Linked DNA regions of Mus musculus. The protein of the gene in region 2 purifies or fractionates together with the protein of the main gene of each other region. This does not show direct contact. Links are inferred from orthologs where the notes say so. Each region holds a gene or a part of one and is shown on either strand. Other genes may lie near its edges.

Evidence for each region. The genes of interacting proteins can lie anywhere in the genome.
Region 1: the proteins of Usp4 (region 2) and Dcp1b purify together in Homo sapiens (co-immunoprecipitation; 3 studies listed by BioGRID and IntAct, with this or other methods). This does not show direct contact. The link is inferred for Mus musculus from reciprocal best matches to the Homo sapiens genes USP4 and DCP1B.

The regions. Positions count from the first base shown.
Region 1 is NC_000072.6:119,198,032-119,203,683, forward strand, and holds part of Dcp1b (mRNA-decapping enzyme 1B), read left to right. Parts: intron 1-896; coding exon 897-963; intron 964-2,774; exon of another isoform or gene 2,775-2,790; coding exon 2,791-2,920; intron 2,921-5,652. UniProt on the Homo sapiens protein: May play a role in the degradation of mRNAs, both in normal mRNA turnover and in nonsense-mediated mRNA decay. May remove the 7-methyl guanine cap structure from mRNA molecules, yielding a 5'-phosphorylated mRNA fragment and 7m-GDP.
Region 2 is NC_000075.6:108,381,208-108,386,859, reverse strand, and holds part of Usp4 (ubiquitin carboxyl-terminal hydrolase 4), read right to left. Parts: intron 5,533-5,652; coding exon 5,308-5,532; intron 2,776-5,307; coding exon 2,705-2,775; intron 2,479-2,704; coding exon of another isoform or gene 2,464-2,478; coding exon 2,345-2,463; intron 2,054-2,344; coding exon 1,904-2,053; intron 1-1,903.

The DNA of each region.
Region 1 (5,652 bases), on a different chromosome or scaffold from region 2:
TCTAATTTGGTGTTTTCCTTTCAAATGCCTTTTGCTAATTTTCATTGCTCCGTCATAATATTGCTGTTGTTTTGAATGAAGTTTTGTTTAGTGCTCATGCAGTTCATGTGTTATTTATGTGATTATTTGCATATGTGACCAGGCCCTAAACTAGATACTCACAAATGTATCCTGCAACTGTCTTAACCCGTACTATAGATCTGATAGAGCTGGGTACACACTAAATTTAATAGACAGCTTACTTGGAAAATGGTTAAAATCAACCACAACGGTATTTTTTCCGTTCCTTGCTAAATGGTTACACCATCGTCACACCTAACCTTCCAACATTTGTAAATTTTCTGTACAGACATTTTAAAGTGAAATTGATTATTAAAATTATATTTTTCTAGTTTCCTATCCTAATAACTCATAGCCAGTTTTTCAGTTACCGTGTTCCTTGGAGAGGGAGAGGGAAGGAGGGTTCCAGGCATGAGATGAGCATCAGGTTCTGAATATTTAAGAATAAAGATGAAATGTGTTTGTGAGATGTGCAAATGGAACATAGAAACAATGACGTCTCAAAGCCAAGAAGTTTAGCATCCTGATCTCATTTTCAATCTGTAGCCGCTTGGTTATGAAGCGCTCACCAACTGCCTGTTGGGTAGAGGCAGGGAAGCAGGCTTCAGGGTGTAGGCCGCTCAGCAGCGCTTCTAACAGCACATGCTTTTCCTTTTGGCACGGGGTCTCATGTAGCCCTGGCTCTGACTCCAATGACTGCTTTCATCTATTTAATAATCACTCGAATGAATTCACTGTGACTGATTATTGCGGATTTTCCTGTAAGACGGAAAGGGGGTTCCCTTCCATTGTGTGCTTTGAGGATGCTTACGGCTTGTTGATGTGTTTTTCCCCAGTGTCCATTTATGGAATTTGGTTTTATGATAAGGAAGAGTGCCAGAGAATTGCAAAACTAATGAAAAAGTAAGTATTAAAAGGCCAATCGTGTCCTAGGAGCTGGCACTGTGGCTCGTATTTCTAAATGTGTGAATCAACACTAGCAGGAAGTGGTTCTCAGCTGTCATCCTCACACGACCCCACCCCCACCCCACCCCACCCCACCCCACCCCCAGACCCTGTCACTGCTTAGCATATGAAGAGAGTGAGAAACAGTTTTGCCCTGCTCTCTGCAAACTCAGCTTCTGTGGCTTATTGTTCTCTCCATGTGCTGTGAGCTGTTCCGCGGGGTGGTTTTCTTTGGCATTTTCTTCATTTGTAAATAAGTAGTATTTTCTATGGAAAGTTATGTGTCCATCAGTAAAATGAACATGCAGGGTCACCCTGAAAGGCTGCCCAGAGCCTTTGATACCCTCCACTTCCTTCTAAACTGTGCTTGTAACTCAGAGTTCCCAGATACACCTCAAACACCAAGGGCCTAGAATCCTCCTCAGTCCCCCTCTCTGGGGAAGTCCGAATCAGTTCATGTTAGTTTAGCAGTCGGTACAGAATCAATCACCTCTCTCTCCCCATCTCCCCCCCCCCCACTACTCTTAGACTTATTAGTCTCTTTCTCTCAAGCTGTTCCTGAGGTACTCTCTGACTTTGGCTTCCTTAATTGGATCACAAGGAGGCTCAGGTGCGATTGATTGGTGGGCTCTGACCAGTTCCGACTTGGCTGCTCACTGTCGGCTGCTGTTTATGCAAATAGCCAAGGTCATCAGAATTAATCAAATTCCTAATGGGGCTGGGTCTCTGTTTAGGATAGCTAGTCCCCATGTGGACGTGATGCTCGTCCTGCAAAGAACCAGTATTCGCTTCTACATCCCAGGGCAATGGAATGAAGAAGTGACCCCCACAAGGAAATAAAAACCAGGGAACACATTTTTATAAATAAAATTGACTCCTGAAACTCCTGCTTGTGAGAGCTAATTTTAGGCAACCAGCTCAAGTCCCAGATGGTGATTAAGTGTGTTCAAACTGGTATTTACCACCATAACAACTAGTTCCTTAAACATTTCATGGTGTTGTAAATTGTGCAAGGGACAATAATAGCCGGATTTCATATGGATTAAAAAATACCCTGTAACTCAGCCAAGAGGTCATGGTAAACCTGGTGCGTGCCTCACCCCTCAGGCAGGAAGCCGATTGTAGATAGCAAGGAGCAGTTGATCTGTGTGGATTCAGATGCATTCTCTAGTTAGAAGGAAATCTGTTGGTAACTTTGCAGGTCATACTTTACCAGTATCTGCATAGTTAACATAAGAATTTGAGCTGAAAAATCAAAGCACACAAAGAAAAGGACTTAAAAAAATGTTTCCCTGTAGCATTTAGGACCATGAGGTCAGTGTTCGAATGGGACCTTTTCGATTCTGAATCGCCAAGGTCTGAGGTGGTACAGCCCACCTTGCTTGACCTCACAGCATTCTGGAAGGGAAGGAGTCTGTACCATAGAGATCTTCCCTGTTGAATGTTCTGTAAGGCTTCCTCCACAGTCAGCAGCCGCCCTGCGGCTGTAGTGTAAAAGCAGCCAGGACTGCTCTGTCCAGCAACGAGCAGGCCTGTGTTTGTTATTCTCTTTATTAGAACAGGTGGAGCAGGCTAGAGTCCAAAGGACAGAGCTTCTGATGTCCTACCCTGGATTTGCATATGTGGCCTGTTGGCTCAGGACCTCTTCTCTCATTTTCTGTTTCAAATGCTTAAGCAGTCCTAAGATGGTTGTAGTGGGATGAAAACCCTTGGGAGAGAGTTGGAGTGATAAATAGCATCGCTTTTGACTTTAGTTTCCTGAATCGCAGCTTCCCGTTTTTCTAGCCTCACTCAGAGCGAACAGTTGAAAGCCTGTCATGGAGCCGGATCCTCCCCCGTGACCTTGAGCTCAGGAGAGGGCCAAGAAGTAGATATCCTGCAGATGCTCACCAAGGCCAAGGATGAGTACACCAAGGTGAGTCTCCTCTTCCTCGTGGGGATACCACGGTGGCAAAGCCCACCACTGACGGCAGCAGGTGAAGTCAACAGAGCAGGATGTAGAGGGAGCCTAAGAAATCAGTGGCCTGCATACAAATGGTATCCAGTTAGAGGGCCTCCTAGACTTAGAGTGGCAACGTGTAAACCAAATTCATGTCTTTGTTGGTGGGTAGGCCTGTAATCCCAGAATTAGGGAAGCTGAAACAGGAGGATGGTGAGTTTCAGACTAGCCTGGACTACATAGTGAAGTATTTCATAACTCAAAGCATGAGCCCAGCAACATGGCTTGGTAGGACACCTGCCACCAAGCTTCATGGCCTGAGTTTGATCCTTGGGATCCACATGGTAGACGGGCAGAACCAAGTTCCACAAGGTCTCCTCTTCTGAACTCCACACATGCGCTGTGGTAATTTAAAAAGTAGAAATCAGAACAAAAGGCATAAAAGTAGACTTGAACAGACAAAAGTGTATGCCCTGTTCTAACATATATATGTTAGCTAAGGAGGTGTGTGTGTGTGTGTATGTGTGTGTGTGTGTGTGCATCCTAAGTATTAAGTAGAGATAGCAAAATTAGTTCATGGTTTGTTAAATAAAAACTACAGACTCCTGACTCCCTGAAAAGGCTGCAAAATGCTTGGCACCCAGTAGCAGTAAGCACCTCTGTTGCCCTGGGTGACCTCCTCCTAAGCTCGCGATGCTCTGTGAAGATGGTTCTGGTTGCTGGGCAAATGGGATCCTATGTAGTGGGCACTGTAGCCAGCTTACAAGAGTGTCACGAGAGCCCAGCAGCAGTGCAGACAGAGTGCTGGGTGTGGAGTTAAGTAATAATCCATGATGTCATGGTGACAATGACAGAGACAGCGTGGACCAAGTCTACCAAAAATAAACTATTGCTATCTTGTTTTGAAAGGACTCAGACACCAAACCTGCCTCTGACACTGATATTTAATTGAGTGCTGGAGTGCATACATGTGTGTATGCACATATATATACACACACACAGAGTCACAAACAAGCCACAGTTCACATGTAAAGGTCAGGACAGCTTTCAAAAGTCAGGTCCCTCAGCCCTGTGGGTTGTGGGTTCTGGGAACAAGCTAAGGTCATTGGTGATTTCAGGCATTAAACTCAGGTGGCCGGTGGCTGGGCCCCTTTCTCCCACTAGTCTTCTCATAGGTGTCACCTGATAATACTCCCTCTGTGCATTCTTCTTGGTAGTGAGCTCTAGGGGTCTTCAGACTTTCCATCACATGGTCTTTGGGGTATTTTCTAAGCATTGGAAACTGGTGTTGCTTCCTGAAAGTGCCTTCCTGCCTTTCCTCCCCTTTTGCACTCATCCAAACAAGGTGAGCCTTTCACAGTCCATCTCCTACCCATCATCACCAGGGCCACGCCCAACCTCCACAGCTGGATGGAAGGCTCTCCTGTTAGCATCAGTCGTACTGCATAAGTCCCGCCTGTGTTGTCACCTCTCCTGTGTGCATGTCACCTCTCCTTTGTGCATGTAGGCATGTTAGATGCATGCAGACAGTGTGCAGACCATTGGTAAAATAGGTCTGGTATGAAGAAGTGGGAAGTGGAAACAGTAATAAAACACACAAGTTTTTTTTTTCCTTAGAATTCTTGTGGACGGCATCTCCATTTTTGGACATGTTTAAAGCGGCATAGTGGAGATGTTGTAAAAGAATTAAACAAAGATTTCTAGAATCCTTTTTGACTGTGGAATTTGGTGGGGAGTTCAGTTTTGTATTTAAATTATTTTTAAAATTTCAATTAAAAAGTCAAATGTGTATAAATGAGGGCATACAACACGAGGCTTTGATACATACACGTTGTAGAGTGACTACATGAAGGGAATGAACACATACTTACCTTACGTGCTTAGCATTCTTGTGGTGAGAACACTTAAAATGCACTCTCAGCACCTTTCACAGATGCTGTTACTAGCTGTAGTCACTGTGGTGTGCGTGGGTCCTTTGAATCTCCTGCCCTGTCTGGTGTCTTATGAACATCCCCACAGTAGCCTGCGCCCCAAGCCTCTGACAGTCACTCTTACCCGCGTTTCGGCCGGCCAGGAAGAACACAACAAACCGGAATCTTCTGCGGCAAAAGCTTTATTGCTTACATCTTCAGGAGCCAGAGAGCAAGAGAGCAAGAGCCAGAGCAAGAGAGAGAAAAAGAACAAGAACAAGAAAGCAAGAGAGAGAAAGCAAAACCCCGTCCCTTTTAAGGAGAATTATCCTCCGCCTAGGACGTATTACTCCCTGATTGGCTGCAGCCCATCGGCCCAGTTGTCATCACGAGAAAGGCAGAACACATGGCGGGAAAACTGCCCCTGCACGTGTGCAGATTATGTTTACTACTTAAAACACAGCTGTCAGCGCCATCTTATAATGGCAAATGTGAGGGCGGCTCCCAACAAGTCACCATGCTCTGTGCCCTTGGAACTCTGCTTTTCTAGAGTCCACATAGAACTGATGTCACGTGACCTGTGTCTTTCTGGGCTGTGTTGACTCAACACCGTATCCTCCAGTTTTATCCACATGTGGTGGCAGAACTACTTTTTTTCTTTTTTGAAAATTAAATATCCCATGCATGTGTGTGTGTGAGAGAGAGACAGAGAGACAGAGGGAGACAGAGAGAGACAGAGAGAGACAGAGAGAGAGAGAGAGAGATTTCATCTATAGTCACACATAACGACCCATAGTC
Region 2 (5,652 bases):
TTCAGGCCTCATCTCCTAAGCTTCTAGCTGAGAAAGACAGTTTACCTTGCTGCCAGACTCTAAAACGGGGTAAACTCACAGAATAGGTCTCAAGTAAGCTCTTCCGCCCTTTCATGTAAAGAGCCCGCTTTACAGTGACTACTGTCAGGACTCAACCACCTGTGTCTCATAGAAAGTAACTGGGTAAGAACAAATTATTTCTGGGTGCTTAAGCTTTTATTATGACTGCAAGGTATGAGTCTGCTGCTCTCTCTACCATGTGGCTCTCAGTACAGATTACAAACAGTGGTTAACACTAACATACCTAAAACATCACTTTTTATAAACTTAAAAAAATAATTCTAGCCAGGCGTGGTGGCGCACGCCTTTAATCCCAGCACTCGGGAGGCAGAGGCAGGCAGATTTCTGAGTTCGAGGCCAGCCTGGTCTACAAAGTGAGCTTCAGGACAGCCAGGGCTACACAGAGAAACCCTGTCTTGAAAAAACCAATAATAATAATAATAATAATAATAATAATAATAATAACAATTCTTGGAAGCTTCAGGGAATCGCCTTGAATCGACCTCTCACAGGTCAAATGGACTCCAGATGGACTCAGTCAACAGCCTGTTTCCTCACCTGCCTGGTCCTGAGCCTGGGATCTCTCCTCTCCCCCTTTCCCTGGTCTTGGGACTTCCCGTTCCCAACTACTAGGACCACGGGCCTAAAAGTTTCTAATGCACACCTAAGAAAAAAATTTCCCCAAACTCCTTAGCTTTAGCTTCTACCCTTAATATGTATCTGCTTGAGCAGATTTCTAGTCAATTAAAGGCTGCAAATTGCTCCAACTGCTAACTGCATGTCCCTAGCCCCAGATGATCCTACAGAGACTGGAGAGCAAGAACCTGCTCTAACCTGACTAGGCTATCATTCCATCATTTTGTTTTTTGGTTTTTGGTTTTTTTTTTTTTTTTTTTGGTGTTTCGAGACAGGGTTTCTCTGTGTAGCCCTGGCTGTCCTGGAACTCACTCTGTGGACCAGGCTGGCCTCGAACTCAGAAATCTGCCTGCCTCTTCAAAGGAATAAGGGGAGTGACTCAATCGTGCATAATTACTTTCTGCTGACATTAGGGAATTGTTGTTGGGGGCCAAAAAACTGGATATGTTAGCATTACCTCTGTATTCTGCACTGAAATCCACACTGCAGAAAGAGCTGGGGACAAATTTTAGGAGTTGGTTCTCTGCTTCTACCCTGAGTCTGGGAACAAATCCAGGTCAGCAGGCTTGGGGGTCAAGGATTCTCAATGAGCTGCCTAGTCTCACCAGCCCATTATACAATTTTCAAAAATAAAGAAAAGGTAAAAAATAACAGTCAGGCTGAGGCACAGGCTTCAATCCCAGCACTCAGGGGGCTAAGACTGGCACTGAATGACAGAGTGAGTTCCAGGATTGCCCAGGCTGCACAGAGAAACTCTGTCTCAAAAAACCAAAACAAACAAACAAAAAAAGTAAACAAAATTTTAACTACAAAGGTGGCCTTAAACTCAATCAATGATCCTCCTGCCCGAGCAAGGAATTACAAGCATGCGACACCACACCCAGCTGAACATCAGCTCCCGCGGGTAGGCTAACCTGGTTGCCTCGCCCTGTTAATAAGAAACAGAACTGAGCCTGTGCTGTCCTGGCTGAAGCCAAGTTCCCTGACAGCAATGACGGCCAGGACAGGCCACAGACCAGTGTGAGGATACAAGCAGATCAGCAGTGACACAATCAGCAGGACTCTTCTAGTAGTGACTTTTCCCACGAGTAGGGGAAGGAAGGATTGCTCCACAAGTCACAAGTCAACCTCCCAGAGCCAAGTACTACAATCTAACTCCAGCATCTATCTTCTCACCTCCCTCCTCAGCACCTGTGCACACACCCACCTGACTGGGAACTCCACCACGGTGTCAAGTTTATCCCGCCAGTATCTGTTATAGGAGAAACGCTTGAGGTGAACCACCAGGATCTTGGGCAAAGACCACAAGTCAAACTTCTTTGTTGCCTGCTGGTGCTTCTTACAGGTGGGACAGTACCTAAAGACAGAAGAGACTTACTTAGCCAGGGCAGCAGGAGGTCACAAGGAGACCTTCCAGGCAGGACTCAACCCCAGGACTTATGAACAAACCCCTGCCTTCTCATCAGAGCAGTGGCTTTTCTCAGTCCAGCAAACAGTCGTCTCTCACACACAAATATTTACAGAACTGCTTAAGAAAAGATGACCTGTCCAGGCACAGGAGGAGGTTTCTGTGCACACAGGTGGTCCCAGCAAACCTCAGAGCCTAGGGTACATAGGTCCCCTGCTCAGAGCTCGGGGACTTGCATACCAGGGGTCATGCTCCCCAAGGGTCTCCATGGTGGTGAAGAGCTCGATGCACTCTCGCAGGGCTACTGCCGCCTTCTTCTTCTTCTGCGGCTGTGACATGCTCAGGTGCTTCTCACAGGCCTGCGGAGAGAAGCACTGAGTTCTGCTGTGAAGCCTCCTGGCGGCTCACGGGATGCTCAAGCTCTGCCTGGAATATACCGTGCTTTCTGCAGTCTCTGCACACAGAATGGCAGTCTTGGGTGCTTTTCATTTCAAGTCATAAGGAAAATTTAACTGTTGTCCAATCAATGAGATGAACATCAATGTATTTTCAGAGCAGAAGCCAGAACACAGCACTGACCACAAACCCCAAATGACATACCTCAGATTCTTGCTCATCAAAGTAAAGGCTTCGGGTCTCACTGTCCCAGTCAATGGCCAGTGTGGATCGAGCTGTGGAGGGGACCATAGTGTCACTCATTATGGAATGACCAACACCAGGAGAGGCTCTCCAAGTGAGAAGGGCCACACTCAGGCAGCAGCACCACACCTGCTCACCCACCACCAGCCACTGAGGAGAGCAATGCTAGAACCTGGGGCAGCCTTTTTGAATCTCAACCTCCCACAGCTTCAAAGTCTCCCCTAATATTACAGATAACCCCCAAAACCCAGAATCTGACAGGCGGATTTCTGAGTTTGAGGCCAGCCTGGTCTACAGAGTGAGTTCCAGGACAGCCAGAGCTACACAGAGAAACCATGTCTCGAAAAACAAAACAAAACAACAAAATAAAAATGTAAATGGGAGTGTAGATATGGCTCAGAGATTAAGAGCATTTTCTGCTCTTATAGAGTACCCAAGCTCAGCTCCCTACACCCACACAGTGGCTCACAGTAGTCTGTAGTTCTAGTTTCTGGGGATCTGACAACCTCTCCTGGGCTCTGTGAGCACGAGGCATGCATGTAGTAAGCTTACAGACAGGCAGCAATAAAAACTCAGATAAAAGACTGTGTAAAGGGAACCAGGAACTACAGTGAGTGCTAGAGCCTCTGCCTTGTATGTGCAAGTTCCTGAGGTCAGTCCTTAGTCTTGATAAATACATGAAACATTTAAAAAGCTGGAGGAGGCTGGAAAGATGGCTTGACAGCTAAGTGCCCTGTCTGCTCTTCCTGAAGACCCAGGTTCAATTACCAGCACCCAAAGGCTCTTGATTGTCTGAAATTCCAGTCCCGGGGGATCGGATGCCCTCTTCTGGCCTCTGCAGGCACTCATATGGTGCACACATATATATACATGTAAAATACCCATTCACATAAAATTTTTTTGAAAGGTATGGGTTGGGCTGGAAAGATGGCTCAGTAGTAAGAGATCATTTATTACTCTTGTAGAACACTAGGGTTCAGTCCCTAACACCCAAGGCGGGAGCTCATAATTTATTACAGCTTTAGTTCCTCTGCAGGTCCCAGGCACACATAGTACACATACATATATGCAGGAAAACACTCAAACACATAGAATCTAATTTTTTTTTTAAAGATTTATTTATGTATTTACTTTATGTGAGTACACTGTTGTTCCCTTCAGACACACCAGAAGAGGGCATTGGATCCCATTACAGATGGTTGTGAGCCACCATGTGGTTGCTGGTAATTGAACTCAAGACCTTCGGAAGAGCAGTCAGTGCTCTTAACCGCTGAGCCATCTCTCCAGCCCCAGAATCTAATTTTTAAAATTAAAGCTGGGTAATGGTGGCAGGCACCTTTAATACCCAGCACTTGGAGGGCAGAGGCATGGATCTCTGTGAATTTGAGGCCAGGGATACAGAGAAACACTGTCTCGAAAAAACAAAACAAAAAAAAATTTTTTTTAATTAAAATGAAGGGAAGGTAAAAAATTAAAAAAAAAAAAAATGAAGGGAAGGAAGGGCAAGGGGGGGAGGAGGGGAAGGGGAAGGGGGGGAAACTAACATAAGTAGTTAAGGTAGAAGACAAAGGGTGCAGCGTCCGCCCTGCCCATGGAGGCATCGCACATGATGCATGTCCACACCCCTAGAGATGCTTTTTCCCCAAGCGCCCAAGCGCTGTCCTGATTACAATCCACAACTACCTCTAGCTTCATCATATACAATTAAGTATTTTTACGGAACAAAGAGACAAATGCACCTATTCTTATGAGTGAAGCAAGTCTACAGAAATGCTCCTAGCATGACCCTAAGAATCACTGAGCCAGAGGAAAGCTCTCGCAGAGCAATGGAAGCCTGTTTGCTTCTGAGGTCATGAACATCAAGGATTAAGGTGACAGCTGGGCATAGTGGCATATGCCTGAAATCTAAAGACTCAAGAGATAGAGACAGGAAGGTCAGAAGTTCAAGGCCAGCATCAGCTACATAGGAAGTCTGGGTTAGAACCTCCTGGGGTTAGAGATGGTGAGGAATACTTCTTGCTCTTGTAGAGTTCAGGTCCCAGCATCCACTTGGTGGTTCACAGCAGTAATTTCCATTGTAGGAGATTTAATGCTGTCTTCTGGTGTCCACTGATACCAGGCACAAACATGGTGCACAGACATACAAGTAGGTAAAATGTCAACACATAAAAATGGGGGGGGGGGGCGAGCGTGGTGGCGCACGCCTTTAATCCCAGCACTCGGGAGGCAGAGGCAGGCGAATTTCTGAGTTCGAGGCCAGCCTGGTCTACAAAGTGAGTGCCAGGACAGCCAGGGCTACACAGAGAAACCCTGTCTCGAAAAACAAAAACAAAAACAAAAATGGGGGGGGGGCTTGTCTTAAACTTGCCACTCTACTACCGAAGGGAACAGGGTAAAACTCCTTTGAGAGATGTGTGTCCTCAACCGTTCTCCAAGGCACTCAAATGTCTGACCCTAGAGCTACATAAAGAGTTACCACCTGATGTAGGGGATATGAAGTAACACGATTCCTAAAGAGCTCTTATGTGCCCCAAGTCTACCTGAAGGGGCAAGCAAGCACTTACAGTTGAGTTTGAGGAGTTTCCCGTCAGTTGCCAGTGAATTGATATCAGCAGTTCCACAGGAGTTCACGAGGCTGAAGGTAAAGAGCCTCTTGTGCCTCGGCTGGCCTTTCACCTTTTGGGCGCTCTCGCTATGGTCATCTCCCTGATCGTCCTCACCACTGCCTTCCACTTCGGAAAGCTGCTCTTTTCCTTCCTCTTGATGATCCATTTCTTCCTCTTCATCTCCTGATACACATGAAAAACAATCTGTGAAGTCCCATACTTAGCCAGGTATGGTGATATCTATCTATAACCCAAGCACTCAGGAGGCTGAGAAAGGACAGTGAGTTCAAGGCCAGCCACAAC